2 linked regions of the Alligator mississippiensis genome follow. The protein of the gene in region 1 purifies or fractionates together with the protein of each later gene. This does not show direct contact. Links are inferred from orthologs where the notes say so. Each region holds a gene or a part of one and is shown on either strand. Other genes may lie near its edges. The genes, in order: PRKAG3 and PRKAA2.

Region 1 (16,176 bases):
TATGTGTGCTCATCTCCATCCACACACATGCCACAACCCCTGCACAAGAATACACACACACACTGCATACATGTGCTCACCCCCACATGTACAACGCCTGCATACATACACAAGAACACACATGCTGCAAATGGGTGCTCATCTCCACTCACACACATGCACAACCCTGACACACATGCACATACCCACTGCATACGTGCTTACCCCAATGCACACATGGATACACCCCCTGCAGGTGCGCACACACGTGCACAACCCCTGCATGCATGCACAATACACGCATAGTGCACAGGTACGTTCACTCTGGCACACACGTGTACAACCCCTGCATACATACACAAGAACACACAATGCATACGTGCGCTCATCTCCATGCACACACATGCACAACCACTGCACGCATGCACAAACACACACACACACACACACACACACACGCTCACCCCTGCACACACATGCACAACCTCCCCATGGCAATCGGGGTTGGTCCCTGCCCCACAGTAGGCCCCGAAGCAGCTCCAGGGTTGCGGAGCAGCTCCTTCCCCCCCCACCCCCAAACCACGAGGCAACGTGGACAGAGCCCCCCTCCCCGCCATGCCCGCCCCTGGCACTCACAATGACATCAAAGCGGGAGTACAGCCCCACGACCTTCCCTGCGGGGACATGGGAGAGAAGTGTCAGGGCCACGGGCAGCAGGGATGGGACCCTACAGACCCGCAATGAGTGGGCACTGGGAGCAACCCAGGCTCGGGGTGGGGTGGGGTGGGGGGCGGGTGTGCACCCGTACCAGCTTCATTGACGACTGGCAGGGCAGAGACCCGGCGGTCGACAAAGATCTCGAGGGCGTCATAGACGGGCGCTGCCTCGTGCACCATGGCCACGTCGCGGAAGGTGCCGATGCCCAGCTCCTGGATGGTTTTCTGCAGAAACCGCGGCTTCGGGATAGTCGTGCCCTGCAAGCAGCCCAGCTGCACACACCTGCACGTGTGATCGCACACCCCCCTGCACTCAGGTTGACCCACGCACACTGCTGCCTGCACATGCAAATGCTGTACATGCTGCAGACATGATCCTGCACACACGCATATACGCAGCATGCATGTTCTCATGCATCCAGCTCGCTTGCATACCCGCACACGTATGTTCATAGTTGGTCGGATCGGAAGGGACCTGAGCAGATCATCAAGTCCGACCCCTGCCCTGGGCAGGAGTGAATACTGGGCTCATATGACCCCTGGTAAGTTTAAGCTCATATGACCCCAGCTAGGAATTATCCAGCCTCCTTTTAAAGCCCCCCAGGGTAGGAGCCAGCACCACTTCCCTTGGAAGTTGGTTCCAGATCCTAGCCACCCTGACTGTGAAGTAGCGCCTCCTGATGTCTAGTCTGAACCTACTCTCCAACAACTTGTAGCCATTATTCCTTGTTACTCCCGGTAGCACTCAGGGGAACAGGGACTCCCCCATTCCCCGCTGGTCCCCCCTGGACAGTTTATAGATGGGCACCAGATCCCCCTCAGCCTTCTCTTGTGGAGGCTGAGCAGGTCCAGGTCCCGTCGCCTCTCCTCGTAGGGCCTGCCCTGCTGCCCCCGATCATGCGAGTGGCCTCCTCTGGACCCTCTCCATGCTGCCCACATCCCTCCTGAAGTGCGGTGCCCAGACCTGGACGCAGTACTCCGACTGCGGCCTGACCAGTGTTGCGTAGAGGGGGAGGATCACCTCCTTGGACCTGCTCGAGATGCATCTGTGGATGCACGACAAGGTGTGGTTGACCTTCCTGACAGCGTCCCCGCACTGTCGGCCCATGTTCATTTTGGAATCAATGACGACTCCCAGATCCTTTTCTGCCTCTGCGCTGACGAGAAGGGAGTTCCCCAGCCTGTAGGTGTGCTGCTGGCTCTTCCTCCCCAGGTGCAGCACCTTGCACTTGTCAGTATTGAACCCATCCTGTTCTCATCCGCCCACCTCTGTAACCTGTCCAGGTCCAGTTGTATCCTGTCCCTCCCTTCTAGTGTGCCCACCTCGCCCCAAATCTTGGTGTTGTCAGCAAACTTGAACAGGGTGCTTTTCACCCCCTCGTCCAAGTCACTGATGAAGATGTTGAACAGTGTGGGCCCGAGGACCGAGCCCTGGGGAACCCCACTGCCCACAGCCCTCCAGGTCGAATGTGACCTGTCCACCACCACTCTCAGTGCGACCCCTCAGCCAATTCGCAATCTATCTGACTGTGTAGGCATCGATGCCACAGTCATCTAGCTTTTCAATGAGGATGGGATGGGAGACAGTGTCAAAGGCCTTCCTGAAGTCCAGAAAGACTACATCCACCGCAACACCTGCGTCCAAGGATTTTGTGACCTAGTCGTAGAAGGCACCAGGTTGGTCTGACAGGACCTGCCCCTAATGAACCCGTGCTGGTTGCCCTTGAGCTTCGTCCCACCTGCCACTCCTTCCCAGATGTGCTCCTGGATAATCTTCTCAAAGAGCTTCCCCAGGACTGAAGTAAGACTAGCGGGCCTATAATTTCCTGGGTCCTCTTTCCTCCCTTTTTTGAAAATGAGAACCACTTTGGCCTTCTTCCAGCCTTCTGCCACCTGGCCAGAGCACCACAAGTGCTTGTAAAGCTGTGCCAGGAGCCTCGCGATGACCTCTCCTAATTCCCTCAACACCCTGGGGTGGAGAGCATCTGGACCTGCTGATTTGAACACATCCAGCCCCTCCAGAAGTTCCCTGACTTGGTCCTCCCTGACCCTAGGCCTGGCGGAGTCTCTCCTGAGTCCCGGGGGGGACATCCCGCTCCCTGCTCAGAAAAATGGAGGCAAAGAATTTGTTAACAAGGTCTGCCTTTTCCTCTGGTGCAACCACCAGATTGCCAGGCGTATCCTGCAGGGGCCACACGTTGCCTGGTGCCTTCTTTTTACTCCCCATGTATTTAAAAAAGGACTTTTTGTTGTCCTTGATGCTAGCTCTACTTCCGTCTCCGCCTTAGCCTTCCTAACAGTCCCCGTACGGACCCGAGCGAAGGAGGTATACTTCTCTTTGGTGGTAGCTCCCCCCCTTCCACTGGATGTATGCCTTCTTTTTGGCTTTCAAGAGTTCCTGAATGCCTTTGGCGAGCCAAGGGGGCTTTTGAGCACTCTTGCTTCCTTTGACTCACGTTGGGATTGTCACCCCTCGGGCTCGGACAATCCTCTCCTTAAGGAAGAGCATGCCCCCTGCATGCTTGCTCACCTCTACCCAAACATATGCTGCACATGTGTGCTCACCCTTCTACACACACTTGTCCTCTGCATGCATGCACACCCATGTGCACACAGCAGGTGTGCTCGCCCCACTACATGTATGCCTCCTGCATGTATACTCCCACCCATACACTGCACACGTGCTCGCACACATGTTCACCCTCTGCACACATGTATGCATGCACGTCCGTATGCACATAGCACATGTGCTCACCCTGCTACATATATACCCCCAGCAGGCTTGTACAAACACACACATGTGCACACACGTTTCCACATATGCACTCACAACCACACACAAGCACATAACCCCTGCATGCAGACACACACCCACTGGCACTGCATATGTGTGCTCATCTCTCAGCTCACACGCCTGCTGCCCATATGCAACGTGTGCCCATCTCCTCTCCACACACACGTGGCTCGCACACACCAGGACCTCTGCACCCAGCTCAGCCTCCAGGTACCCCAGCACACCTCCCCACCCTGCCAGGCATGTTTTGGGCATGGCCCCCGCCACACACACCTCCTGCTGCCACAGACAGGGGCAAGGCAGGGTCCCCCCCCCGCGCCCCACTCACGAAGATGTGGAGGAACTTGAGCAGGCGCTTGTGCGTGAGGATGTGCAGGACGTCGCCCGACACCGGCTCGATCACGGGCAGCCGGTGGATCTTGTGCTTGATCAGCGAGTAGACAGCATCAAAGAGGCTGGGGGGAGCAAGGCCCAGGGGTAGCATGGGGGGAGGAGGGTGGCTGGGCCCCCCCTGCCCAGCTCTAGGTCCTTGGTTCTGACCATGCGGGGGGCACCTGGGCTGGCTCCAGCCTGCCAAGCCTGCCCCCCCATCACACATAGCTCAGGGGCCCAGACTCCTGGGTCCCACTCCTGTCTCTCCCATCTTCATTGCCCCCACCACCCTAGTGCCCAGCCCCCCCGAGTGCTGGGAAAGACCCTGGTGGGGGTCCCAGCTACCTGGGGGATTGGCTCAGAGCTGCCCCTGCCTCCCCAGCATTCCCTGCCTGGCGGAGGGGGCAGTTACCTGTTGTTGGGGGAGATGAAGACGAGGGGTTTGCAGGAGCCTTGCAGGTAAACCTCTGCAGGGAAGCAGAGACCGTGAGGCGGGGGGTAAAGGCAGCACATGTCCATACATGTAGGTGTGCACATGCACACAGATGCACACATGCCCACATATAAACAAGTACACATGCACAAGCACATACGTGCAAATGCACATGCATATGCACATGGAAGTAGGCATGCACATGCACCCACGTACATGCATATGCACAAGTAGGCACACGCACACCCACCTATGTACACAGGCAGGCACACACACACACACACACACACACACACACACACACACACACACACACACATCCACGACGTGCCTTGGACGTCTCACAGTAGTGGCCTGTGTCAGGCCCGTGCGCCCTGACCCTGCACACAGCCCCCTCCAAACCCCCAGACTCTTCCCCCCGCTCTCCCTCCCCACATCCACACACATGCTCACAGGCACACACACGTGCATGCAGTCTCCCACCTGCACACATGTGCACACATGCTCTCACCTCGCCAGGTCTCAATCTTGTGCTGCTCGATCTCATAGATCTGCACCTGCAGAGTATGGTGGGGAGGGGTGAGCACCAGGGGGGAAGGGTCTCTGCATGGGGCCCACAGCACCCATGGGTGGGGGGGGGTCCCACCTGGCACACTTCCCCCCACACCGCCTGGGGCCATGACTCACCAAGGGTGACCGGTAGTAGCGGTGCAGGATGTTGATGAAGTCGGTGATTGTGAGCATGCCTACCGGGGGGCAGGGGGAGGAATCATCAGGGGGGCCCTGAGGTCAGGCCCTGGAGAGTGCGGCCACCCCCAAGGGGCCACAGTCCCTCCCCTAGAGATCACGGCAGCCCCCCAGACCCCACAACCCATAGCCCCCCTCCCCCCAACCTCAGCCAAGGGCCACAGCTGCCCCGAGGCCACGGCCCTGCACTCACCCACGAAGCACTGCTGCCGGCTGTCCCACAGCGGTGCCGCCCGCACGCCGTTCGCCACCATGGCCAGGAAGGCCTTCTTGATCTGGGGAGGGGGCAGGGGGGGAAGGCATCGGGGGGGGGCAGGCACCAGGCCACAGCCGATCCCTCCGGGGCCACGGTCACTGCCAAAGACCCAGGTCACTCTCCAAGACCAGAGCTGGCCCCCGAGACAACGGCCAACCCCCTGGGGGAACAGCCCCTTCCCTAGAGACTATGCCCCCCCCCGAAGCCACAGCCCTTCTCGGAGACCACGGCTGCCCCTGAGGCCACAGCCCCCACCCGAGTCCGTGGACTCCCAGCCCCTGCCCCTTGACAGCCCAGACCCCCGCAGCGCCAGGCCCGGCCCTAGAGCCGCAGGCTCCGGCCCCTACGAGCCCCGGCCACGGGCCGCACCTCAAGCGAAGTCTCGAAGACGACGAGCTTGGAGCTGGTGGGCATGGCGTCGTAGCAGCAGTGGCTCATCATGAAGCGCATGTACGCCTCGGCGTCCGGCGCCTGGAACTCCACCTCCGGGCCCAGCCCCAGCAGCTCCGCGTCCGGCACCGGCACCGGCTCCGGCTCGCCCGAGCTCGTGGCCTGGGGCTCCGGCTCCGTGGCCTCAACCTCCATGCCCTGCACGTCGGCTCCTGCGTCCCCCAGGCCCAGCCCCACATCCTGGGCCCCAGCCTCCCAGCACGGGGCCCGTGGGGCCACGTGGGAGCCTGGAGGGACGAGCAGGAGCCCCGTGAACCGGGGGCAGTCCCATCCCAGCCCATCCCCAGCCCCGGCCTCTGCACACTGGACCAGGGGTGGGGGGCATTGGGGAGTAGGACAAACTGGCAACCCCCCCAACCCTCTGGCTGGGGGCAGGGACCCCACTGTTTTGCCCCCCGTGGGGATTACAGGGAGCAGTCTCATTTCCAACCCTTCAGCCCTGCCAGTGCCCCTCACTCCTATCTCCAGGGCTGGAGGGGACAGCTCAGCTGGCAAGGACAGACTGGGAGGGGGTCCCCAAGATAGCAGAGACGGGGACAGGATGGAGGAGACTGGGGGGAGCCCTGGGTTGAGAGTGAGGAGCACCGGGGGGCTGGGGCAAGGAACTGGAGCTGTGGGTCAGGACCAGCACCGGCAGGGCTGGAGATGGGAGCAGGGAGCTGCAGGTTGGAAGTGAGGGGCGCCGGCGGGGCCAAGGACCAACGCTCGCTGCACAGCCGCCCCGACCCACCTGCCTGGTGCGAGGGCAGCCGGGCGTCCAGCGGCCGGACCTGGCAGGGCGGAAAGCAGAGCGAGGCGGGCACTGCCGTGACCGGGGCCTTGCACCTGCTACTGGGGAGGCACCAGCAGGGCAGCCTAAGGCCTGGGCCCAGCCTCACCCTGCAGGGGGTCTGAGCCCCCCCATGGGACCCGCTCTGGGCAGGGGGGGATCCCAGACCACAGCGGGGTGCACTCCCAGGCTGGCAAGTGCCAGGGCCCTGGGGCAGGAGGGGCCAAGGAACTGGTGCAACTGGGCCGAGGGTGCAGGCAGCCACCTTGGCCCTTGGCCCACCCCTGGGCCCTGTCCCCCCAGCGGGGGCTGCCCCTGGCCCCCCAGCCCCCCATGCCCCGCCAGTACCTGCTGGGTGGCGACGGGCAGCTCCATGCAGCCGCCCCGGCGCTGCTATTCTGAGCCGGCTGCGGGCAGATTGAGTGTCGCAGGCCCTGCGCCCTGCCGGGGGGGTCCAGCTGTCTGAGCTGCGGGGGGGCGCGAGGGGTTGCTAGGCCAGAGCCCTGGCACCGTGACCCCAGCAGCGCTGATGGATGCACGGACAGACGGGGGATGCCCAGGCAGACGCACGGCCGAGTGTGCCCAGCCGCTGGGGGAGGGGGCTCAGTCCCACATCACATCAGGCCCCCGGGAGCTGGCACAATTGAGGTCCCCCCCAGCTGCTCCCCCGCCCCACAAGGCCTGGCTCCGATTTCGGGACAGCTGCCCGGGCAGCTCACGTAACCTCTCGGATCACAGGCCAGGCGGCTCGGCCCTCTGCATGGCTGCGGGGGGTGGAGGCCAGGCAACACCCCCCCTCTGCCCAACCCCGAGCCTGCCTCGGTTTCCCCACACCTCCAGCAGTGGCAGGGCTGGCGGTGCGGGGCGACGAGCAGAGATCAGCGAGGCCCAGCCCTCGGCACTCACAGACTTTATTAGAAAACCCGCTGGGGCCAGTGTTGCCCCGTACAAAGCCTGACCCCACCCCCAGCCTGGGGGACACCCTGGCACCAGGAACTGGGGAGTGGGGGCCACGCACATCCCCGGGGCAGCCCCTGGTCTTGCCAGAGGGCTCCAGGGGCCGGGGCTTGGCACTGGGTCTCCCTTTTGGCAGGCACATGGCAGGGAGAGGGGGCAGCGGGCAAGGCACGGAGGGGGCAGCAGGTGCCAGGCGGGGGCGGGGGAGAACGGGACAGGGGCCTGTAGGGTCCAAGCCACAAAGCTGAGCCAGGTGCCAGCCCCATGGCCAGGGTGGGGACACACACGACACACACAGCCGGGCCTTGGACACCCACACGGGGCTCTCCGCTTTCACTGCCGCCCGCGGCTATTTTCGGTCACTCGGGAATGCCGGACTGGGGCAAGCAGAGGGAGGAGGGCACTGCCTTCTCCTGCTGGGGGGAACTGGGCAGACTGGGGGCAAGGCCCAGGGCTCTGGGCACTTGCACGCCACAGGCAGACACGCAGGTCCAGGGCTGCCGGCTGCCCTGGCCCAGCCAAGCCTCGGGGCCACGGTCTCTAGCCCAGGCAGAGCAGGTGGGAAGGGGACCCCCGTCCCTGGAGCAGCGCCAGCTCCTGCCCCACACTGGGGGCACCGTGTGACAGCCTGGCTCCTTTGGGGGCAGGCAAGGGTCGGTGCCCGGGAGGGGGAGAAGGGGGCAGGGTCAGAGCCTGGGGGCAGAGAGGGCAGCGGTGCTAGTGCCCAAGTCCCCTTAGTGGCCATTGCTCCACATCCCTGGGCAAGACGAACTTTCCTGCGGGCAGAATTGTGGGGTGGGGGAAGCTGGACCCAGCCCCCATGGCACAGGGGCTGCGGCTCTACCCCCAGCGCCTCCCCCCTGCCCAAAGAACGGCGCCAAGCCCCGGCCTCGCCTTCCAGAGATCATTATTGAAACATCCCAGTGTCCATCGGCCTGGCTCCGGCACCGTGGCACGCGGGCGGCGGGGCAGGTTCCAGGGCTCCTGTGCTGGCACTTGCAGCTTCCGGTGAGGTAGGTTCCAGGTCCCCCCCCCAAAACTTTCAGCTTGGGGTGGGGGCAAAGGGGGCGTTGGCGGCTCAGTCACAAGGCCGGGGTGGGCTCGGCCAGGGGGGCTCCAGGCTTCTTGCTGGCTCCGCCACTGCAAGGCAGCAGGGACGAGCTCTGGGCTCCAGGGCTGGGCTCTGGTGCCCGGGTGGCATCCTTGGGCTCCTGCGCTGGGAGAGTCTTGCTGCAGGGGAGGGCAGGGGAAGGGAAGGGGGTGGGTGAGTGACCGAGAACACGTGCCAGCCCCCTCCTCTGGACAAGGGCCTGCGCCCTGCAGCCATCACTTACCTGATGCGGCTGGGGTCCAGCTTGCTGAAGCCATTGAGGTGGGGGTTGCTCTTCTGGAGGAGATGGGACCTGGGCAGAGACCACTGCAGGGGGAGAGGAAAGGGGCAGGGGCATCATGAGGTGCTGAGGCCACAGCTGGGGTCCCAGGACCAGAGCCCCAGGGACTGTGGTGGGAGAGGAGGGCACGGGCGGTCTCTCACCAGCAGTACATCCGTTGCTACCCCCGCATGGAAGCCCTGGCGGCACCAGCTCCGCAGCAGCTCCAAGCCTGCAAGGGAAGCTGCTGGGTGAGGAGGGGGGCAGCTGGGCCCTGGGCAAACGCCACAAGGAGAAGATGGGCTTGCTCAGTTCAGCCTGGACGGGTCCAGGGCCCTGCCAAGCTCCCAGGATGCAGGTGGGCACCAGAGCAGCAATGAACTCCATGTTGAACTGGATGGAGGAGCCCGGAGCATCTCTGGGGCCCTGGCGCCTGCCTGGAGCCAGCCTGCCTGCTCCCTCTGTGAGCAGGAGTCCCTGGGATGATGCTGGAGGGGAACGAGCCAGCGCCGGTGCCAAGAGGCAACCCTCGGCTTTCGCCCAGAGTAGCGCCCAGGCCACGGAGCAGGGGACAAACCCCACCACAGTCTCCCCCAGCACCAGGCAGGGGCAGCCGACACTGGCCTCAGCTCTAGACCCAGGGTGTGAGGGGGCCAGTGGCGACTGTGGCTGAAAGAACTGGGGTTATTCAGCCTGCAGAAGAGAAGACCAGGGGGATGAGGGCAGGACCCCAGGCTTCAGATCCCCAAAGGGCCAATCGAGGATGGAGACGGGCTTTTCTCTGGCCCGCAGGGGACAGGACGAGGAACAACAGCCTCGAGCTGCAGCAAGGGAAACCGAGGCAGGAGACCAAGAGGACCTGGACCAAGAGAGCCGTGGGTGGAACCTCCAAGCTTGGAAACCAGACCAGGCTGGACGGATGCGCATCTGGGGTGGTTTGGATGCGGGTGCTCCTGCCTTGCGCAGGGGGCTGGCCCAGAGGGGACCTCCTGTGGTCCCTTCCAGCCTGACTTCCCTACGACCCACTGCACCAAGGACCTGGGGGGGGTGATGGCAGAGTCCTGGAGGGGTTAATGCCCAAATGCAGCCCTCTAAGACAGAGTGCTGGGAGCCAGACCTGCTTCAAGGCCCATGCTGGGCCAGCCCCTCCCCGGACAGCCAAGGGCGCTGGGGGAGGAACCGTGAGGTTTCCAAGGGGTGCGGAGGGGACTTACCTTTACCCTTGCACAGGTGGTAACGGAGCTCCCACTGGGCCGTGAGGATGTTGAAGTAGCGTGGCTGCTCAAAGAAGCGCAGGTAGCGGGAGGCGCCAGGCCCAGGGAAGACTCGCTCGAACTGCCCGCGCCGCGAGAGCTCATCCTCCGTCTCTGCCAACACCCGCACATCATCCGGCGTCAGCACATCCAGCACCGAGGTGTAGAAATCCTGCACCCGGGAGCAGCAGGTGTGGGTCGAGAGGATGGCATAGGGGGCCGCAGCCCCTGGGGCCAGCTCTTGGCTCGGTCCTGCACCCCAGCCCTCCCCACTGCTGCCGAGGATGTGGACCCAGGGCTGGGGCTTGCAACCCAGTGGGTTTAGGTTGGATCTCAGTTTCATAGAAGTAGGGTCGGAAGGGACTTATGAGATCGAGTTGGATCCCCTGCCCTGGGCGGGAATGAGTGCTGGGGTCAGATGATCCCAGCCAGGTGTGCATCTAATTTCCTTTTAAACACCTCCAAGGAACGGGACAGCACCACCTCCCTTGGAAGCATATTCTATATCCGGGCAACCCTCATGGTAAAGAATTTTTTCCTGATGTCCAATCTGTATTTGCTGTCTTCCAGTTTGTTACACTAGATGTGACCTCCAGAGGTCCCTTCCACCCCACTTCTCACTCAGTGGCTCTCAGCAGAGCTCCCTGAGCCCCAAGCAACCTGTAGGATGTGGAAACTGAGGCACAGAGGTGTTGCCTGCTTGCTGAGGAGGTCCAGGAGAAAAGGAGGGCCGTGGCAGGGCTGAGGCCTCAGAGCTGCAGCCAGGGGGGCACAGGGGCCTGCAAGGGAGGGGGACACGCACATATGCGCCTCGTACCTGGTTGGGCACCTTCTGCGTCAGGTAATATGCCCTCTTCATCTTCTCGGCCACCACCTGCTCCGGGGCCGGCCGGGGCTTCTCCCTTGCGGTGCTGCTCAGGCTGTGCGGAGGACGGCGCGGTTACGGCTCTGCCCGTCGGCAGCCTCCCGGCCCAGGGCCCCCGCAGGCTCCAGGGAGGGGTGGCTGCAGCCGAGACAGAACCACCGCAGCCTGCATGAAACCACAGGCTGGATCCCCGGTGACACCCCATTGCTCATCTGCCAGGATCCCAGGGCCTCTGTCTGGCAGCACAGATCCAGGCCCCCCCACCCTGGCTCTTGGCTGTAGCCATGGGTTTGTCACAGACATGGCTGCAACATGTCCCTCCTCCCCCCATGCTGTCCTGGACTCACTGGGCCAGCCCTGCCCGAGCTATTCCTGGCAGCACTGGGGAACGCATGGAATCGTGCCCGTCTCCAACTAACTGCCCAGCTCTGCCCTGGACAGGTCCCAGCCTGACAGGCCGCCCCTGGATGCAGGATGGTTGTTCTGGATCCCATTAAGGGGATGGTGCTGCTCCAAGGCCAGGTTAGAAAGTGCCTCAGGGCAGATGGGCAGGGCAGGGCAGGGCAGGCAGAGAGGCTGCTCCAGGCCTCTGCTTGGGGCACTGGCAGCAGACAGGATTGGTGTCATCTTGCAGTGGGGCAGGGCTAGCAGCTGAGAGAAGCCAAGCTGCTCCAGACTGATTCATGGGCTCTCTGATGCCCTGTGACACTGGAGTCGAGGCAGGACGGACCTAGGGTCTGACCTGGGAAGCAGCCGCTCTTCTGGGCACTGCGCAGGCCCCATGAAGGCCACGGGTGCTGCCGGACACCTACTCCAAACCCTGCTGGCAGTCATGAGAACACAGAGCCCCCCTCTGCTCTCCTGAGCTGCATGGAGCTGGTGCCACACTGGGCAAGGAGGGAAGCAACTAGACACTGGACGAGGCACAACGGCCAGGTCAAAGCCCCCTGCACAGCCACGGGCAGTCAGGGCCTTACGCTTCTCCTATAACTCTAACCCATGAGGCCTCAGGGGCCTGCGGGAAGGGGTGAGGGTCCATAACAAAGCTCAGGATCTCTGCCCTGTTCACAACGTAGCTGGGAGCTGAAGGCAGGGACCAGCCGCGGGAGGAGGATTGGGCCGGGCCCAGTCCCCGACTCACCTGGTGGCGGAGCTCCTGCCACTGGTGGTGCCTGAGGCCATGTCATCGGCAGGTGGCAGGATGAAGCCAGCCAGGTTCAGCAGGTCGCGGACCATCTGGCCCTTGATGCTCATGTCCAGCGGCGAGTTGGAATGGAGGCTGTGGGGAGCAGGGAAGGAATGAGTCTGCCGTGGCCGGAGATCCCGGAGGTGCCTGGCCCCTCTCCCCACCCACAAGGGCTGTGGGAGTGATAGTTAAGGAACTCTGTGAGGGCGAATGCCTCCCACAATGATGGGCAGCTCTCATGCAGGCCCCGGACCCAGTACACCCACCCTACCCTGCCAAGAGCACAGCTGAGCGCCCGGCTGTCGACCAGCTCATCCGGGGGAATGTGCAGAGACGCTGAAATAGAGAAAGGGCAGGGAGCCTTTGTGCCCCGCTTCGGTAGGGGAGAGAGAGGGAGGGGCCCAAACCGACGTGCCGGGCAGTAGGGCCGAGGGTCCCCTGGGTGCCCACCTTGGGGAGATGTTGACTTCCAGGATCCAGGGCTTGAGGTTCTCGTCCAGCATGACATCGAAGCCAAAGAGCTCGTGGCAGCAATATGGGCGCCGCACGTACATCTTCACCAGGCTCGTCACGTAGGGCTCCGACCTGTCAGCCAAGGGGAGGCATGCTAGCTTGGGGAGCTGGGCAGCAGCTAGCCACGCCACACCACACCTCATGCAGAAGTGCTCCCACAGCTCTCCCAACAGGCAGAAGTGCTCCCACAGCTCTCCCAACAGGCCAGTCCTGGGCATAGCAGCACAGACTCTTGCTGAACAAATCTTTGCTAGTTGTGCTCCCCCCGAGTCTCTGCTCCACGTGTCAGGTGGGTTTTAAGCTGCCCCCAGAGGTGCTGGATGCTGGGCCCGGGTTGTGCCAACGCTTGTGCCGAGACTCAGCCCCACAGGGTCCTGGCTAGAGCCTCAGGCTGCCTTGGCTGCAAGGCAGGCAGGGAAGGATTTGCCCCCTGCTCAGCATGGCCTGGCCTGGGGGGTTTTCCCTCCTTCTGCAGCTGGGGCACAGCCTGGGCCTGGGATCTCTCCAGCGCCCAACTCCCAGGACATTGATGCCCACAGCCCCATGTATCCCAGGGGCAGGGGTGACGCCTGGGGCTGTGTCAGGGATGACTGTGTCGTGCAGCTCCAAGGTTGCACATGGGGTTTGTCTGGGGCTGATCCTGCCTCGGGCTGGATGTGACCCCACAGCTCCCTGCTGGCCGTGGCTCTATGAACCTGAACTCAGGTCCCAAGTGACCTGCCCTAGCCAAGCCTTGGTGGGATCTGTGGGGGCCTTTGGCAAGGGAAACTGGCCTTTGAGAACAGGCCTCCATAGCACTGGAGACCTGCCATTCCTGCCCTGGCCCCACAGGGCATGCTCCAGCCAGAGACCAGGGTCCTGAGGCCTAGGTGAGGGCAGATGCTCAGCCAGGCCTCAGAGGGTGCCCAAGCGGAGGCCTGGGCACCTCACAGCCATCACCATGGGAAGGAGACAAAGTTCCTGGCCGCCCTGGGGCTGCAACTAGATCCCTGCGGCCCAGACATCAGGCACAGCCAGTGCTGGATAGGTGCGGGGGGGGGGGGGGAAGGATAGGGGTGCAGAAAGGATCTTGGGCAGAGCATATGGACACGAGCTGCCTAGGACCCGAGTCCCAGGAGACAGGACAGATGGCCCCAGACCCCTCTGCCCTGGGGTAACCCCCCCCCAGCTCTGATAACAGTCATAGGTAATGCAGCAGAAGCTCATGCAAGGGGCAGCTATCACAGGGTGGCTGGGGGCAGGGGTCAAGGCACTAGGATGGCCGCAGATGCCAGCCCACTATGCTGCTGTGACCCATGCTGGGAGCATTCTGCCCCCAGCTCTGGCCAGAGGAGTCACACCTGGCAGTTATCCTGGGTTAGGAGCACACAACTGTCCATCCCACCCCAGCTCGCTGGACACCGACTCCTCCCAGGCTGCAGGTGACGGCCAAGCCCAGCAGCTGCTGTCACTACATGACCAGGGAACAGGACAGCTCAGGGCTGTGGCAATACTAGGGAAGCTGGCAGGGGGCCCCTGAGACTCACGCGATGATGGTCTTGACGACAATGTCCTTGATCTTCTCCCAGATGGCCTCGCTGTTCACCCCCTTCTGGCTCAGGTAGCTCCAAAGTGCTTTCAGTGCCCTGGGGAGCCAGATAATGGGAGGTCACAGCACCAGGTGCCTGCCCCACCCCAGGTGCATGCAGGGAGGGGAAGGGAGCCACAGTGGGCAGAGTCACGGAGCATGCTCTTCTGTGGCCAGACTTCTCTACTACGGACAGCCAGTGCTGCAGCAGCCAGGGTGGGCTGGGATAGATAGCTCTGTCCCCCCACCCCACCCCCGGGACAGTGAACCTCCCACACAACCAGTCAGGACTGCATGGGCCAGGAGGTCACCACTGCTCCCAGGTCCCGCACAGGAATCAGAAGGATCGGACAGCGCTATGTAACAGGGGCATTACGCCAGGAAGGGGGCAGGGAAGGGCAGGGCCTCCCCCCACACAACCCCCAGCATGGGCAGCGGTGTCAGCTGCTCTGTACCCTGCAGGTCCCATGGAGCCAGAGGGGGGCCCTGCAGCCTGCCTGGCCTGGATGTGACTATGACCCAAGCATGTCCTGGCCCCCCATCACCACCCTGCACCTGTGGGCAGCCAGGGGTAACTCCAGGCAGAATCATCCTTGGAAAGGACAGCGCTGAGCACGGTGAGGCCTGGCCCAGCTCCTGGGAGCAGCAACAGGGATAACTCCGATACCCGGGTCACTGGCAGCTGTGCCTGGTGCATCCCAGCAACTGAGGTTGCCAGAGCAGAGGGCAGCTTGGCAGGGGCGGAGCTGTCTGGCAAATACCATCCTTAGCTCTGCCACTGGCCCTGCCCATGTCTCAGTTTCCTTGCCGGACATGGGACAACACTGGGCTGCTTCTGGAAAGTGCTTGGAGCTCTGCGGTGGTAGAGCCCTGGCAGGAACCCCCCTCTTCTCCACAGCGATAGAGAGGAGCCAGCCCCGGCCTTACCACTTGTGGCCCTGGCAGGCGGTCTCGTCGGCATTGGCCTTGTACTCTGTGTTCTTCTTGTTCACGCTGTAGTTGGTCAGGTGCATGAACTTGTTGCCAAGGCTCTTCATAGAGGATGAGTACCTGGGCCGGGAGCAGGGGGGTAGACAGGGATCAGCATGTGGGTAATGGGGTGCCCAGACAGTGGCAGGGAGGGGGCTCTGTCTTAACCTCCGCTCTGGGAGCACCAGACTACTCTGCTACAGAGAAGACTGGTGCCCTGCCACAACATCAGCCCCCTACTGTGCCCAGATAGCAGCACAGCTGGCCTGTACCTGCTCTGAGCTGCCCCTGAAGACTTACTTGCAGCTGGCAAAGCGCACAAGCCCATCCCTGAAGAGGTAAATGCGCAGCGGGTCATAGCACGTGACGTAGACATAGATGCGCAGGTCAAATTTGCTGCCTCCGATGAGGTAGGGCTTATGCAGGTACCTGCAGACAACGAGGGGGGCATGAGGGTGGGGAGGGGCATGGCTGTGAGGGTCCAGGCTCCTGAGTTGCACCCAGGGCCCCCATGCCCGCAGCTCTGGTCCAAACCAGCCCAGCCCAGCCAACACTCCTAAGCCTGCAGGGATGGAAACCCCACGCCCTCCTAGGCGGCCTGGCCCAGGGCACCATGGGTGCTAGGTTGGTGGATAACACGGGGAGGCTTGGAGGTGCCTCGTCCAGCCTCAGCACGCAGCCCAGAGGAAGGCTCCTGTGCCCTGAGACAGACTCATCCTAGCCCAGGTCACTGCCCCTTCCCAGGGATCCAGGGCATCAGGTGCTGGCTGCAGCCAAGTCTGGGGCTGTGCCCAGCTGTGCCAATGCTCCTGCTGGGACTCAGCCACGCAAGGTCCTGGCTACAGGCTCTTGCCTCCTGCTCATGCTGCCTTTGGGGGGCAGGCAGGGATTTGCCCCCTGCTCAGCTTGGTCGGTGGGGTTTCCCCTCCCTCTGCAGCAGAGGCACGGCCAGGGCCTGGGCTCTCTCCAATGCCCACCAA
Region 2 (15,667 bases), on another chromosome or scaffold:
TGACGAAGCTAACCTCTTTAACAGATTCTTTGCTTCCATTTTTCCAAGCAGGGACCGAGTCATCCACCCCCCTGGGATCCTGGATGCACCCAGGGGAGGCAAAGTCAAGCCCAGGGTCAGTGAGGCCCTAAGAGGATAGGCTTAGGGACCTGAACCTGTTCAGCCTCCACAAGAGAAGGCTGAGAGGGGGTCTGGTGGCCACCTATAAACTGGCCAAGGGGGACCAGCAGGCAGTGGGAGAGTCCCTGTTCCCCTGAGCACTACCGGAAGTAACAAGGAATAACGGCCACAAGTTGACAGAAAGTAGGTTCAGGCTAGACATCAGGAGGCACTACTTCACAGTCAGGGCGGCTAGGACCTGGAACCAACTTTCAAGGGAAGTGGTGCTCGCTCCTACACTGGGGGTCTTCAAAAGGAGGCTGGATAATCTTGCTGGGGTCTTTTGACCCCAGTACTCTTTCCTGCCCATGGCAGGGGGTCGGACTTGATGATCTGCTCAGGTCCCTTCCGACCCTACCAACTATGAAACTATTGTCTCAGAATTCCTCCAACCCCTCACAAGGTGAGGAAAGCCATCAGGCAGATGAAAAGCAACCAGGCATCTGGAGTGGATGGCATCCCCGCTGGAATCTTAAAGCAGGGAGGAGAGGAGCTCACATCACCGTTTCATGCCTTCATCTTAAGGATCTGGAATGATGAGGAAATCCCAGATGAACTTAGGGATGCCATGATTGTGACTATCTTCAAGAAAGGAGACATGTCTGACTGTGGAAACTACAGAGGGATCACCTTATTGTCTACCACAGGAAAGATCATCACAAGACCTCTTCTGAACTGTCTGCGTCCACTTGCTGAAGAGCTCCTCCCGGAATTTCAGTGTGGGTTTAGGGAATCAAGAGGCACAGCTGAGATGATCTTCACAGCTCACCAGCTGCAAGAGAAATGTGGGGAACAATGTAAGCCTCTCTACACAACCTTCATTGGCTTCATGAAAGCTTTTGACTCTTTGTCAGTCAAGAAGTATTGCCAGGAGATTCCTTCTGAAGTATGGATGCCCATTGACAATTGTCACTATTCTCTGCCTAGTCATGGATGCCATGATGATATGCAGGTGATGGTTCTCAGTAATGGATCTATCACAGAGCCCTTTGAGGTTAAAACTGGAGCTAAGCAAGGCTGTGTCATCACTCCAACACACTTCTCGAAATTCCTTGCTGCAATGCTGCATCTGACCACCAACAAGCTTCCAGATGGAGTAGAGCTAAACTACCGAATGGATGGTAAACTGTTTAACCTCAGCTGACTCTGAACCAAAACTAAGACCACCCTGACCATAGTCATTGAGCTCCAGTATGCTGATGATGCTGTAGTGTGTGCTCACTCAGAAGCAAACCTTCAGGCAACTGTCAACGTCTTTACTGAGGCATACAAGAAAATGGGACTTATGCTTAACATTCAGAAGACTAAGGTTCTCCACCAACAAGTTCCTAATGAACAGAACCCTGTAATCCAGATCCAGTAACCCAGATCCATGGTAAGACTCTGGAGAATATTGTGCATATCCCATACTGTGGAAGCCCGCTCTAACAGAAGGCCGACATCGATGAAGTAATCCAGCATCGCCTCAAATGGCAAGTGCAGCCTTTGGGCACCTGAAGAACTAGGTGTGTGAAGGTCGCAACATCAGATCCAAAACCAAGTTCATAGTTTATCAAGCAGTTGTGATCCCCACCTTGCTGTACAGAACTGAGTCACGGACAATGTATGGGAAACATCTAAAGTTGTTGGAGAAGTACTATTAATGCTGCCTGTGGAAGATCCCCCGAATCTAGTGGGAAGAGAGAGAGACACCAACATTAGTGTCCTCTCACAAGCAAACACCACAAGTATTGAGGCAATGATCATCTGGCATCAACTTCTTTGGGCCAGCCATGCCATCCAGATGTTTGATCCCAGACTCCTGAAGCAAGTTTTATTCTCCCAGCTCAGCCATGGTATACATTCAAGAGGAAAGCAGAGAAAGCGCTTGAGGGATGCCCTCAAGACCAGCTTAAAAAAATGCAACATCAATGTCAACTCATGGGAAACTATCACCCAGGACTGCCTCAAATGGAGGAAGAGTCTGCTGCAGGGCTCTCGGTACTTTGAAACCTCACAACAACAAGAGGAAATGGACAAGTAGGAACGGCTGAAACAGCATGTCACAGCCCAAATAAAAAAATCCAGCGCCACCACCAGCCACAGAAACACATGTCTGAGTTGCAGTAGAGTCTGTCGATCCTGGATAGGCCTCATCAGCCATCTTCGAACACAAAGATAAGACAGTCGTGGCAGACAATCATCTTGACTGAGAGGAATTTCCAAAGACGATGATTGGGTTAAAGGTATGTTCACTCTGTGACTATACGGGGTTAATTCTAGGTATGGTTTAGTTCAGAGGATGCCTGTGAGGAAACATGCAGGAATGTAGGACAATGGATCTGGATAAAAATCTGTCCTTACCAGGTCAGAAAGGCAAGAAACAATATTTGATGAATTAGTTCTGAAAAGGCTACTTGTAGGGTATTCAAAACAGATGTCTTGCCAAGAATGGGTGCAAACAAATCCAAAGGACCATGAACAATAAAAAACAGTCTACATTCAGAATTGAGGAGCAGTGGTCAGAGCAGAAGACAAGAGATGGAGCAGTGTCAGAAGAAGCTAGACCTTACCCAACTCTCCTGGGGGATCCTAAGAGTTAGGTAAGATAGGTACAGAAAAATAATCCTTTTCTCTCTTCTTTCTGCTGGGACCTTACTGTTCTGATTAAACATGACTTTGTCTCAAGGAAGCTCTCTGGTCACCCTGGTCTCAACTGAAAAAACCTCCCAAAAAGAAGATACATTTCTGAACAGGGTGTGCTTTTATTATGTATTATTACTTATTCTTTGAATTATGAAAATGGCCTGATTGTTGCTTTGACAGTCTTTGTTTGAGCTAATTATAATCAATGGAGATGTTGGAAAATTACAATATTTTTCTCATCATTAGCAGTACACTTTCATAATTTACTTATGATTTTGCCACATATACTTTGTTTATATGTCTTCATTGCAAGGGTTGGAGTCATTATTTCTATTTTTATATTTGTGTAGGTCCTTGGGTAATTTGATGCTGCCTTTGGAGGTCTTCAGCTACTCTCTTGTGTTTAACCGAACACATTGCAAAGCTGGGGATTAATGGCATTCAAATATTCTCAAAATACATTTTACGGGCCTTATAAATACATTTTATACATCTTGTTAACTAATATTCAAGCATGCATTGCTTAAAATGAGGTAATCAGTTTGGTTTTTTTAAATGTCACTTCTTTTCTTAATGCAGACAGAGTCCTGCTTAATGGAGGACTGGAGTCTTAATTTGAATAAACTTTCTGATTTTTTGCAATCATCTGATGACAGTTTTTATGAGAGATTTCATAGATTTCATAGACATTAGGGCTGGAAGGGACCTCGGAAGATCATTGAGTCCAGCACCCCACCGGAAGGGCAGGAAATCATTTGGGGTCATAAGATCCCAGCAAGATAAGCATCCTATTTACTCTTGAAGGTGTTCAATGTAGGTGCTTGAACCACCTCTGATGGCAGGCTGTTCCAGACCTTGGGGGGTCGGACAGTAAAGAAATTCTTCCTTATGTCCAGCCTGAAACGGTCTTGCAGTAGTTTGTAACCGTTCGACCTCATCAGCCCTTGGGGGGCTCTGGTGAACAAATGTTCCCCCAGATACTGGTGGTCACCCCTGATAAACTTATAGATGGCCACCAGATCACCCCTGATCCTGCACTTTTCCAGGCTAAAGAGCCCCAGGTCTCTCAGCCTGTCATCGTAGGGTCTACTTCCCTGACCTCTGATCATGCGCGTGGCTCTTCTCTGGACTCTCTCAAGCTTCTCCACATCCTTTTTGAATTGTGGGGCCCAAAACTGGACACAGTACTCCAGGTGCGGCCTCACCAAGGCTGAGTACAAGGGGAGAATGACGTCCCGGGATTCGCTTGAGAAGCATCTATAGATGCAAGCCAGTGTTTTGGTCGCTTTACTAGCAGCAGCATTGCATTGCAGGCTCATGTTCATTTTGTGGTCAATGATAACCCCCAAGTTTCTTTCTTCTGTAGTGCTAGCCAGCGTACCACTGCCGAGCCTATAAGGATGCTGCAGGTTTTTCCTCCCAAGGTGGAGAACTTTGCATTTTTTCATTGCTAAACACCATCAAGTTCTCGTCTGCCCATTTGCTGAGCCTGTCCAGGTCAGCCTGGATCACCCTCCTGTCTTCAGGTGTGGATGCTTTGCCCCAAAGTTTGGTGTCATCGGTGAACTTGGCCAGTCCACTCTGACTCCAATGTCCACATTATTAATGAAGATGTTGAACAATATGGGTCCAAGGACAGAGCCTTGGGGGACCCCACTGGTCACTGGGCACCACAACGATTGACTTCCATCAATTACCACCCTCTGGGTCCAACCACGGAGCCAATTTCCCAGCCAGCGGATCGTGGTGGACCCAAGGCCACAACTGGCCAGTTTCGCCAAGAGGTGATCATGGGTTACCAGACTGAAGGCTTTTTTGAAGTCAAGATATATGACATCAATCTCTTCTCCCTTGTCCAGGTGATAGATCACCTGGTCATAGAAGGAAATGAGATTGGTCAAGCTGACCTACCCACAACAAACCCGTGCTGGCTATCCCTCAGGATGTTGGCATTGGCCAGTCCATTAAGGATGGCCTCTTTAATAAACTTTTCTAAGATCTTCCCCGGGATAAAAGTCAGGCTGATGGGCCTATAGTTTTCCGGATCCACTTTCCTCCCTTTCTTAAAGACTGGCACCACATTGGCCTTCTTCCAGTCTTTGGGCACTACACCAGAGCGCCAGGAGCTCTCGAAGATCCGTGCCAGGGGCTGGGCTATGATGCTTGCCAGCTCCTTGAGTACCCTGGGGTGTAGATTGTCAGGGCCGGCTGACTTGAAGGTGTCCAGCCTCTCAAGGTGTACCCTTATGAGGTCAGCATTGATGGGGGGCAGGGGATCTCCCTCACCCGGACCTCCCTGTTCCGTAGCAGGCATGGGCATCCCATGGGACTGATGAAAGACTGACGCAAAGTACCCATTTAATAGGTTGGCTTTTTCCTGGGCGTCAGCTGTTAGTTGTCCCATCTGGTTCAGCAGGGGTTCAATGTTGCCCTTGCTTTTCCTTCGGCTCCCAACATAGAGGTTTATTTGAAAGAGGAAACTAACTTCAGGCAAACACCAGTGTTACCCCATCACAGTTCTGTGTCGCCCGCTAGCAGCAAAATCAGGGATCTTAGTTTAGGACTAATGCTGCATGAACTAATGGGGTAGCTTAGTTTGCTCCAGCTCTAAATTGGAGACCTGATGGGCCCAGGTTCAGTACCTGTAGTTGACCTGGTGTGTCGTCACACAACCGCTACCAGTCCAAGGCCTGGGCCCAGCCTATAGCTGTGGCAAGGGATTCGGAGGAGGAAGATGTAGCCTTGTTAAACCTACAGCTCCAGTGTGGATGACCTGCCAAGTTCGCTCCCTGGGAAGCTTGAGAAGGGGTGTGTTTCCTCTTTTTTGAGACAGGAAAAATGAGGAAAATCTTCATTAGAATACAAAAGACTATCAGTAAATGGCCAATTCCTTCAGATGGACAATGTAAGTTAAAAACACTGTTTGTTTGTTTTCTTAAATGAGTCTTCGAATTGGAAAGAAAAATCTTAGGAAGAACTAGTAAAAATAGCTTGCTCAGAGCAGCTGGGTTATTTATCCAGGATCCCTGTATCATTCAGGCCCCTGGATTTGAATCTATTCTGGAAGGTTTCATCACGTGATGTAAAGACATTAACGACTTCATGTCAGGTAGGCAAATGCACATGACTATTCCACTTTAAAACCCCACTGGACTACTGTATCAATCAAATTCAACATTTAATATTTATATTAATGAATGCCCTATCATTTATCTCCCAGGTGACTCTCAGCAGCCTCCTGCAGGTTTATCTTGAATTCCTGGAGACTCCAGGGCAATGCTGGAGGGATGGCAACCCTACCTGAAGCACAGGGCAAGAGTCTTGTGCAGCAATTTCTCGCCGTGCTGCCAAAAGCACCACACAAGGCAAGGGGCCAAACACTAGCCACCAACAAAACCCTGTGTGTTGAAGCAGGACGCTGCAGCACCCACAAGCCCACAGCAGGGCAGGCACTGTCAGCAGCATCAGCAGCACTTCTCTCAGGGGGTGCGCCACCAATCTCAGGGGGTGCGCGTGCACCTGTGTGCAGCCCCTAAGTGTCACCAATGGGACAGAGGACAAAGTAGCAGAAAACCAGAACATCCTTTCCGATGGCTACCCTCACCCAGCTTCAGAGGCCCTGTACGATGAAAACAATCCGTGAAAACGGAGGCTCCGTACAATAAAAATAACGCGCAAAAATGGATTTTCATTACATTTTAAAGATGAATTTTTGACATACAAAAAAACCTACAACTTGTGGTTCCAAAATGATCCCTTCCATTAGACCAAGTGGAAAATCATAAGCCAATCGTCCTTTTCTGCAAGCTTTCCCCATCCAAGTTCCTTTGTCCGGCTCTGGGGAAAAGTTGAGATGGTACAAGATGCTAAAAGGCATCATTTTGGCGCCAAGTGTTCTAGTTTTTTGTTACAGGGGCGCAGGCTGTAGCTGTGTTAGTCTAAAGACATGGGCAGACAAGGTTCTTTGGGTGAATCTGATCTCTTTTATTAGAGTCACTTCAGTTGCTAACAATTATTTTAAAAATTTCCAACTATTTCAGTGGGTCTCATAAGATTCTTTGGGTGAATCTCTTCTCTTTTATTAGACCCACTTAAATTGCTAACAATTTTTTAAAAAATTCCAACTATTTAAGTGGGTCTCATAAGGTTCTAAAGTCCTTTGGGTGAATCTGACCTCTTTTATTAGACCCACTTAAGTTGCTAACAATTTTTTTTTTTTAATTTCCAACTATTTAAGTGTGTCTGTGTCTCATAAGGTTCTTTGGGTGAATCTCTTCTCTTTTATTAGACCTACTTAAGTTACTAACAATTTTAAAAACAATTTCCAGCTATTTAAGTGCGTCTTATAAGGTTTTTTTGGGTGAATCTGATCTCCTTTACTAGACCTGCTTAAGTTGCTAACCATTTTTAAAATTTTTCCAACTATTTAAGTGGGTCTCATAAGGTTTTTTGGGTGAATCTGATCTCCTTTACTAGACCTGCTTAAGTTGCTAACCATTTTTAAAATTTTTCCAACTATTTAAGTGGGTCTCATAAGGTTTTTTGGGTGAATCTGATCTCCTTTACTAGACCTGCTTAAGTTGCTAACAATTTTTTTTTAATTTCCAACGATTTAACCACTTAAGGTTAAATAGTCTCATAAAGGTTCTTTGGGTGAATCTGATCTCTTTTATTAGACCCACTGAAGTTGCTAACAATTTTGTAAAAAATTTCCAGCTATTGAAGTGGGTCTCATAAGGTCCTTTGGGTGATCTGACCTCTAAGACCCACTTAAGTTGCTAACAATTTTTTTTTTTTTCATTTCCAACTATTTAAGTGGGTCTCATACGGTCCTTTGGGTGAATCTCTTCTCTTTTATTAGACCCACTTAAGTTACTAACCATTTAAAAAACAATTCCCAGCTATTTAAGTGGGTCTCATAAAGTCCTTTGGGTGAATCTGATTTTTTTGGTCTGCCTAGTTTTCTGTTTGTCTACTCGTCTCACACCCACCCGGGCTACCAAGTGCACCCCTGCACCAATGATGGATATCAATGAGCCATGGATGTGTCTATGTTTGTGGTCTTCGAGTGGAAACCTCGGGAGGGGAGGGGGGGGTTATTTTATTTTATTTAATTTTGGGGGTGGGGTGAGGTGGGGGTTGCTCCTCATCTGGCAAGGCAGTGCGCGCGCGGCAGGCGCGGGCGGAGCGTGGCCGGGCGGCAGCGCCGCAGCGGGCGGGGCGGAGCGGTGCGGGGCGGGGCGGGGCAGGGCGGCTGCAGGAGCATCCCCGCCGTCCCCCCGGCGCGGGGCACCCCCGGTCCCGCGGCCGCGCCGCGCCGCGCCGCCCCGCCCCGCCCTGCTGCATTGTGGTCCGGCGGAGGGGAGCGAAGATGGCAGAGAAGCAGAAGCACGACGGGCGCGTGAAGATCGGGCACTACGTGCTGGGCGACACGCTGGGCGTCGGCACCTTCGGCAAAGTCAAGAGCTGAGTGGCGGCGGGGGGAGGCAGGGATGCGCCGCGGCACCCCGCGGGCTGCAGGGATGCTGCCGGAGGCGGCGCTGCGTGTGTGCGCGGGGAGAGGGGCAGCTCCCGCTGGAAGAAGGAGCAGGGCTGGGTGGGCACGCAGCATCCTGCGGCTCTCCCTCCTCTCTGCCTCGTCGCGGCGTAGCTGTGGGCCCGAGGGGCAGGTGCTTGGCTGCCGGCGGGGCAGCGGGAGGCTCCGCGGGGACCCGCTGCGGGGCGGGGGGAGGACGGAGGGCGAGGAGCCAGGGATCGCTGCCCGCTGCCCGCACGCACGGACCGGAGCCGCGCAGCCTCTCGTTTGCAGCTCGGGCACGCCTTCGGCTTCTGCTGCCTGCAAGATTTGCAAATGCAAATGCAGGCACGCTGCTTTTTGGGGTTGTCTTTTTTTCCTAGGCAGAATTGCAACATGAAGTTTCATTTGGGATTTGGCTTGGATGGATGGACGGTGGGAGCAAAATAGACTGCAAAAAAAAACAAAAAAAAAGGGGGTGGGGGGATGGGCGCTACCTAGGCCAGAATAAACATGATCATTATGATCGTGATAATCATAACAACAATAACAGTAATGATAATAATAATGATCATTATGATCGTGATAATCATAACACCAATAATAATGACGCTAATGATGGTATGGATAATAATGATAATACTAATAATGATAATTATGATAGTGATGATCATAATAATGATAATCATGATAATGATTATCATGATAGCGATAGTCATAACACCAACAATAACAAGAACAATAATGATGATATGGAGAATAATGATAATAATACTGATAATTATGATAGTGATGATCATAACAATAATGATGATGATACTGATAATTATGATAGTGATGATCATAACAAAAATAACAACAATAATAATATGATACGGATAATAATCATAATGATAATTATGATAGTGATAATCATAATAATAATGATAATGATAATCATAGTAATAACAATGATGATGATGATAAGGATAATTATGATAGTGATAATCATAACAACAATAATAACAACAGCCATAATGATGATACGGGTAATAATGATGATAATGATAACAATAATAATTATGATAGCAATAATCATAACACCAATTATAACAGCAACAATAATGATGATAGCATAATAATGATGATAATGATAATTATGATAGTGATAATCATAACAACAACAATAACAACAATAATAATGGTGATGATAATAATGATAGTGATAATCATAACACCAATAATAACAACAATGATAATGACAATGATAATAATGATAATGATAATAATGATAATGTTAATCATAACAATAATAACAATAACAATAATGATGATAATAAATGTTCCCCATCATGCAAAACTGCACATACTGCATAACTGCAACAATAAATGACCATTTATCCAAGCCATTCCTGTATATGGCACTGACCTTCATAACAGCCAGCAGTTTCCAAAGAGACGTTTAAAGCAGCATCATTCTAATTTAAGAAACGGCTTTTCCTGGAGAGGGAGAATAAATACAAGAAAATAAAAATAAAATCTAATCTCTTCCTTTCTGATACTATAGTAAGCTTTCAGGGCATGTTTGACAGATGCAAAGTGGGTTCGGGGGGGGGGGGGGTTCAAACTGGGATGAAACGTGATGTGAGGCTTACGTGTGGAATGACAGCATTTGTCTCTAAACAAGCACTAGGATTACTCGTGTTAAAAAGAATATGACCGGAAGGAGACAGATGATGAATTACTGATTAAAGCTATATATATTATATATATTAAATATATATATTTAGTATATTACATCATTTTTTCTTACTAAAAAGGGGGGCTATGTCATTTTACACTCTCCCCCACCCCTCACCACTGATTGGTTCAGAGAGATGCCCATTTTTGGGTCTGGCTTCTCAGCCAATCAGCGGGAGGGGGATGGCCCACATGACGGATGGCCCTCTCGGCCAGTTTGCAACCAGGGGTGGGGCCATAGGATGGACAACCCTCTCGGGCAATAAGCGGTGAGGGGCCCTCAACCAATTAGAGGCATGGGAGGGGCCTGCCACAATAAGCCCGCTTAAGTGGTGGTCGGCCCCGCAATTGACACGTGAAATCAGTTGCCTGCCGCCTCGATTTCGGTAGGTCCCTAATAATACGCATAGGGGAAGCCTTGGAAGAGCCGCCTAGAGGTGCTGGGAAAGCACCGCTGGAGATTTTGAAGAACATAGTAAAAGAAACCTCTGTCCGTGGCTAAAAGTATACTTGATCCTTCTCAGGGGTTTGGACTGCTTGTACAGATTACAACAGTAATATTATAGCAGCACTCATTAGGCTTAGCCAGGGTCTTGGTTACCGCACAAGCACACATCAAAGACAAGCCCTAAAATAGAGGGGCGGTAAGCAAAAACCAAGGGAAAGGACAGTGGCTTGACAGGCAAGCAAAGGTTTGGGTAAAGAACTAGGACAACATTGTTACAGATGTTCCTGTTTCTAAAGTAAAATCTGGTTAATTATCACTCCAAGGGGATTGATGGGTAATGATGACTGCTTACCAGTAATTAGTCCTTTTCAATTCTTTGCTAGATGTATTTTTCATGTCATAGTGAGACGTGGTAAGCAATGAAGTTTGACATTTTAACAAGGAAGAAAAAAATTACAGAAGTTTTGAGTGCAAAGTATGTGCACTCCTACGCACTACCTAAGAACTGTCTGACGAAACAGATAAATGTTTAATGGACTTTTTTGAAAGAAAACTGTGGCGTGCTCACTCTTTAAGAGTTAAATGATTATGAGGGAATGAAATAATCAGTCAGCTATTTTTTCTGTCTGCTCTTACATGGACTCATCATCAACGTTCCCTTTAAGGTTTAGTGATCTGTGAGCAATCCTGGCTGGGAGTGCATGGGTATCTCGGTGTGCCCCCCACCCCACCGCCCTCCTCTGCAGCAGCTTATGGCTGGGCTGGGGTGGGTGGTGAGCAGCCGGAAGCGAAGTCGGTGGTGGTGGGGGGGAGCATCAGCACCCCCTTGCTATGGCACTGGGCATCCCCCCCAGGCCGGTGCCGCGTGTCCATGACCCCCTACTGCTCCCCATCGGTACACCACTGTGTGCGCGCCATTAAAAAGTTATTGCGTGGCATGATTTTTTATTGTGCGCGGCCACACATGCACATAGCTTAGAGAGAACCGTGCTCATCATCCCAAAATGGAAGATAATACGGTGCTATGGTTCATTGTCTGCATCTGATTGAGTCAAAAAAAGCTGGAGTATCCAACACTTGGCAAGCACCAGTGGGCTTGACAGGAGCTTTGGGGGGCGCATATCTTTTAAGCAAATGAAACCATATCTTAAATCGTATCTTTTAAGCAAATCATATCTTTCAAGCAAATTAATTATCAGAAGGAAATCTATTGTGATTTAGTGTGTGTACATTTGGAACGGGCTGCGCTGTAACAGATAAACTCGCCAAAGTGTTTTGTGTACAAATCAATGGGACGCTAATGGGGATTCAGTGTACTGACTAATCAGACCATAGCAATGATGAGTTATCCCAGTGCATCATTAAACAGATTTCACTGTGTTTAATTTGGGAGTGGAGGTAGGGAGGGTAGTGGGGTAGTTATTAGGATAGGAGATCTCTCCCATAAGCGCTTGTATTCTAGGTGTAGCACGTGCAGATATCTTAAATGCTTTGCCTTTACTGCTTCAACCAAAAGCCACGTGTAGAGGAAGAGACGGGATCTGTTTTAAAGAGCTCAAAGGGATCTGTTTTGAAGAGCTGGGCCAACAGGGACCTTTAGCATTTAGTGTAAACTTTAATGAGTCGCAGCTGATTGCAAGAGAAGTACTATTTCTTTCCATGGCCTGTTTCTACTTCTAAACCAGCTAAATCAGAAAGGTCCACTTTTAGAAACAGATTTTGCCCACATTTGCCTTGTTAGCATTCTCCGATGAATCTTTACCAAACATGGAGATTAGTGCACTGTCCAGATGAAACAGTAGGCTTTAAAAAAAAAAGATCAAGTCCCTTTTGCCCTGACTTCTTCAAGTTTGAGAGTGCTGGTGCTTATCCTTTGTGCTTGCTGTCTTGTTGCTGGAAGATCTGGGTAGCTGCTGCTGTTCCTTTTATTAATCACATCCATTGTTTCCATGACAAGGTGAATCACTGCTAGCCTGCTGAGCATCCTGAGGTCAATTCAACGTGCAGTTATACGCATAGCTAATGCCTGTCATTTGCCAGGAACGTGAAAGAATTCATTAAAACCTGTCTTACTTCCCTTCCCTGCTTCCCCCACCCCATCCATGTACACCCTTTTTATTGCATGGGATAACTTAGAAAGCAAATGCTTGGCTTGCTGAAAAAGAAACCCTCTTCCTAGTGTTTTATGGCAGGTGCCAAGAGCTGGCAGCAGGACTGATAATCTGGGGCTCTTGGAGTTTGGGGGTTGATGATCCCATTTTAAAGGGAACCCCCCTCCTCTCTTTATGGGGAGAAATGTGTTACAAAATACGGCAGTCTCTTTTTGGGTAAAACCCCCCCAAAGGAACAGGGCAGAAGGTGACATCCTGCAACCCCAGCTCTATGTGAGTGAAGCAGCACCAGCATCACTAAAGAAAGGTCTTTCCCTCCTTAAAGAATTTCGGTCTGAGCCTTCTCCCCATAGCTGCATGCTGTTTCTCGCCCCATTTCCATTGATTCCCATGGAAATTTCCAGCAAAAATCCACAAATTGTCAAGAGAAAATATGCCAGATAATTCCTTCTCCTGTCCTGGCCTGGAGAACCTCTGTGCGTGATGTTACTATGGGATTCCTGCAGTTGCCTCGGGAGTACAGACTGCTGCTCCCCTCGTTCCTTATCACATTCACCACCCAAGATCAGTCACCCTCCTTCGACCAGCTTCAAGGGCTGGAAGTACCTTTTTTACCAGGATCTGTGCAGGGAGCAGGAACCAACATCACCCAAGAAGCTGGGGGAAATGAAATCCCCGAGTCTAAATTCCTAAAACCCAAAATAATACCAATGTGCCATCATTTGTGAAAACCAGATAATACACGTTAGGCAATACATGCAGCTTCCAAAGCATCTTTGGACGGAGCCCAGCCTCCAAACTAGACCAAGCAGCCTGAGATAGCTTGTGGATCTTTTTAATACTTTTGCCAACTAAAGATACAGTGAAGGTCAGGGGCGGCAGTCTACCAAGCCAAGCACATAGCTGTCTTCACTCCAGTATATAAAGCCTCCTGTAGCTAGAAGCAGCAGCATTAAAAACTTGACGTGCTTAAAAGGTCCCCATTGCACAGCAAATTACATTCTCTCTTTGTCTCTGTCTCTCTTAAGACATGCAAGTAGGCTTAACAAGTCACTGGGGACTGAAACAATAATATCTCTGTATCTAATGCTTACTGTAATCAAAAGATGGATTACAAAACAGACTTTATTTTTAATTATTAATGTGCTGAACTAAAAAAATAAACCACAGAGTTGTATGCTGTTTATCAAGGATGAAAGGAAGAGAAACCATTCAGGAACATTAGTATTGTTATTTTAATTCTTTCTTTCAGACCTTCTCTAGTATATCGGTGATTAGGTGATACATAAAAAAGAGATCATGTCACTGGAGTAGGGTGAAGTAGGTCTAATAATTGGTATCCGGCAGTGCAGTAAATTACTGTGCTTAAATGCACATGTAGATGGTGATGTTGGGATTAGTCTATTCTGGCTCAGATTGAGCTGGAGCATATTTGGTCACATTCATTGCATGTGTAGACGCGCCCATTGTGTGGCTGATTGGTGAAGTGTGGGGCTTACAACCTCAGCTAAGTTGTGTCCCACACGGGTTTATCCGTTCCTGATACAGGGGCTGTAGACCTTGATCTGAAGCTATCTATTCAGGTTCCCTTTCTCTTCCCTCCTCCTACTGTGCAGCATGTACCCTAGGTACATTCTGGGTTGGAAGACAGACTGGTTTCCTTTGTAACACCAGTATTAGCCAGAACAGGGCTGCACAAACCAAGAGGAACCCCCCAGACCCCCCCATGCTTGTACAATATGAGGTCACCCTAATAGGTCCTATACATTGACATTCTCCATGGATGCCCCAGTATAGAAGAAGAATTTCTTAGCATGCAGTTCTCTAGAGGTTCAGGGCTATAGAGAAGTCCATAAGTATGGCACGGTATGATGTCATAAATTAGGGCAACCCCTGGGATGCTGTAATTTCCCAAATCTCAGGAGTGCAAAGATCCATCCGGGAACACGCCTTCTAATAGTGATTACTAGTGTTTTCAGTATACTGCACAGTGAGAATGACATATCTGCCTCATCCTGCACTGGATCCCTGAATTGCTCTTATTATACAAAATGCATTGCTTTTCACTGCCCTTATTTGTTTCTGTTTGTTTTTTACTATTGTGAAGTCTAAAATGGACATGCAAAGGAGCATTTTATTTTCAAGTGAGGCAAAGTGTTTTATTTTTAGGATACTCCTAATGAGGAAAGAATCTCAGGCAGTTCTTATCTCTTAGCTAATAATAGTGACCTTGCTCACTCTGAATGGTAGCAGTGTTACCACACACTCCTTTTCATGGTCATCTGTACACATTCAGGCATTGCATTATGCTTCTAATGATCTCTTTAAAGCTGATAGCAATTTAGGATGTTCATATTTTAATAGCAGGGTTTGTCCATAAGACAATTATCAACTCCTTACTGTTTCAAAGTATTATTACATGGCCTTCCTGATTATAAATGTTACCATTATGGTTTTTAGTGTAAAGAAGTTTTCAGTGTAACCTAAACATCTGTCTATAGTTCACCATTTTAAAAGCACTATGAGATTTTTTACATGTGTTTGGTTCGCTACCGATCTAAGCTGTGCTGCTTAGAGAAAACGGTGTTACTTAGATCAGTTTTGCCTCAGGCTTTTTGAATGTCTGTACCTAGCCTTAGTTAAATCCACCATTACATTAATCACAAATCAGCTTTTAAAATATACATTGATTTTAATCCACTAAAATATGTCAACTAATAGTGGTTTCCCCTTGTTTTAGATCAGATTGGTGATCTCTTTTCATACAAGGAAGTTATCAATGTGCAGTTATGACAAACTGTAGATTTATTTTGACTGAAGTAAAGCTAAAGCAAAATATAATAATCTAAGACCTCAGTTTTGGAAGAGGTACACATATGCTTACATTACATGCATTAAGTAGCAATGAGACAACTTGCAACTTGCAATCCTGTCCTCTGTAAAGTCCATGTCAAGACTTTGCATGACTAAGGGAGGGTGAAGATTTTATCCACTGTTTACAGAGTTGATTAGTTTGCAGAATCAGGGCCCAAGGTCTTTGATATTTTCCTCTTGTCATTTCTAACATTACGGATGAAAAACGGGTGTTAA

What was found.
Region 2: the proteins of PRKAG3 (region 1) and PRKAA2 purify together in Homo sapiens (affinity purification with mass spectrometry; 3 studies listed by BioGRID and IntAct, counting the BioPlex papers as one, with this or other methods). This does not show direct contact. The link is inferred for Alligator mississippiensis from reciprocal best matches to the Homo sapiens genes PRKAG3 and PRKAA2.

What each region holds. Positions count from the first base shown.
Region 1 is NC_081827.1:253,862,673-253,878,848, reverse strand, and holds the start of PRKAG3 (5'-AMP-activated protein kinase subunit gamma-3), read right to left. Parts: upstream 7,375-16,176; 5' UTR 6,171-7,374; coding exon 5,667-6,170; intron 5,317-5,666; coding exon 5,235-5,316; intron 5,041-5,234; coding exon 4,982-5,040; intron 4,852-4,981; coding exon 4,806-4,851; intron 4,329-4,805; coding exon 4,274-4,328; intron 3,945-4,273; coding exon 3,818-3,944; intron 954-3,817; coding exon 788-953; intron 654-787; coding exon 616-653; intron 1-615. Other genes in the region: tubulin monoglutamylase TTLL4, read right to left, coding at 8,556-8,703, 8,808-8,890, 9,008-9,075, 10,058-10,268, 10,914-11,016, 12,103-12,240, 12,598-12,732, 14,187-14,285 and 2 more. UniProt on the Homo sapiens protein: AMP/ATP-binding subunit of AMP-activated protein kinase (AMPK), an energy sensor protein kinase that plays a key role in regulating cellular energy metabolism.
Region 2 is NC_081828.1:12,123,209-12,138,875, forward strand, and holds the start of PRKAA2 (5'-AMP-activated protein kinase catalytic subunit alpha-2), read left to right. Parts: upstream 1-8,070; 5' UTR 8,071-8,155; coding exon 8,156-8,249; intron 8,250-15,667. UniProt on the Homo sapiens protein: Catalytic subunit of AMP-activated protein kinase (AMPK), an energy sensor protein kinase that plays a key role in regulating cellular energy metabolism.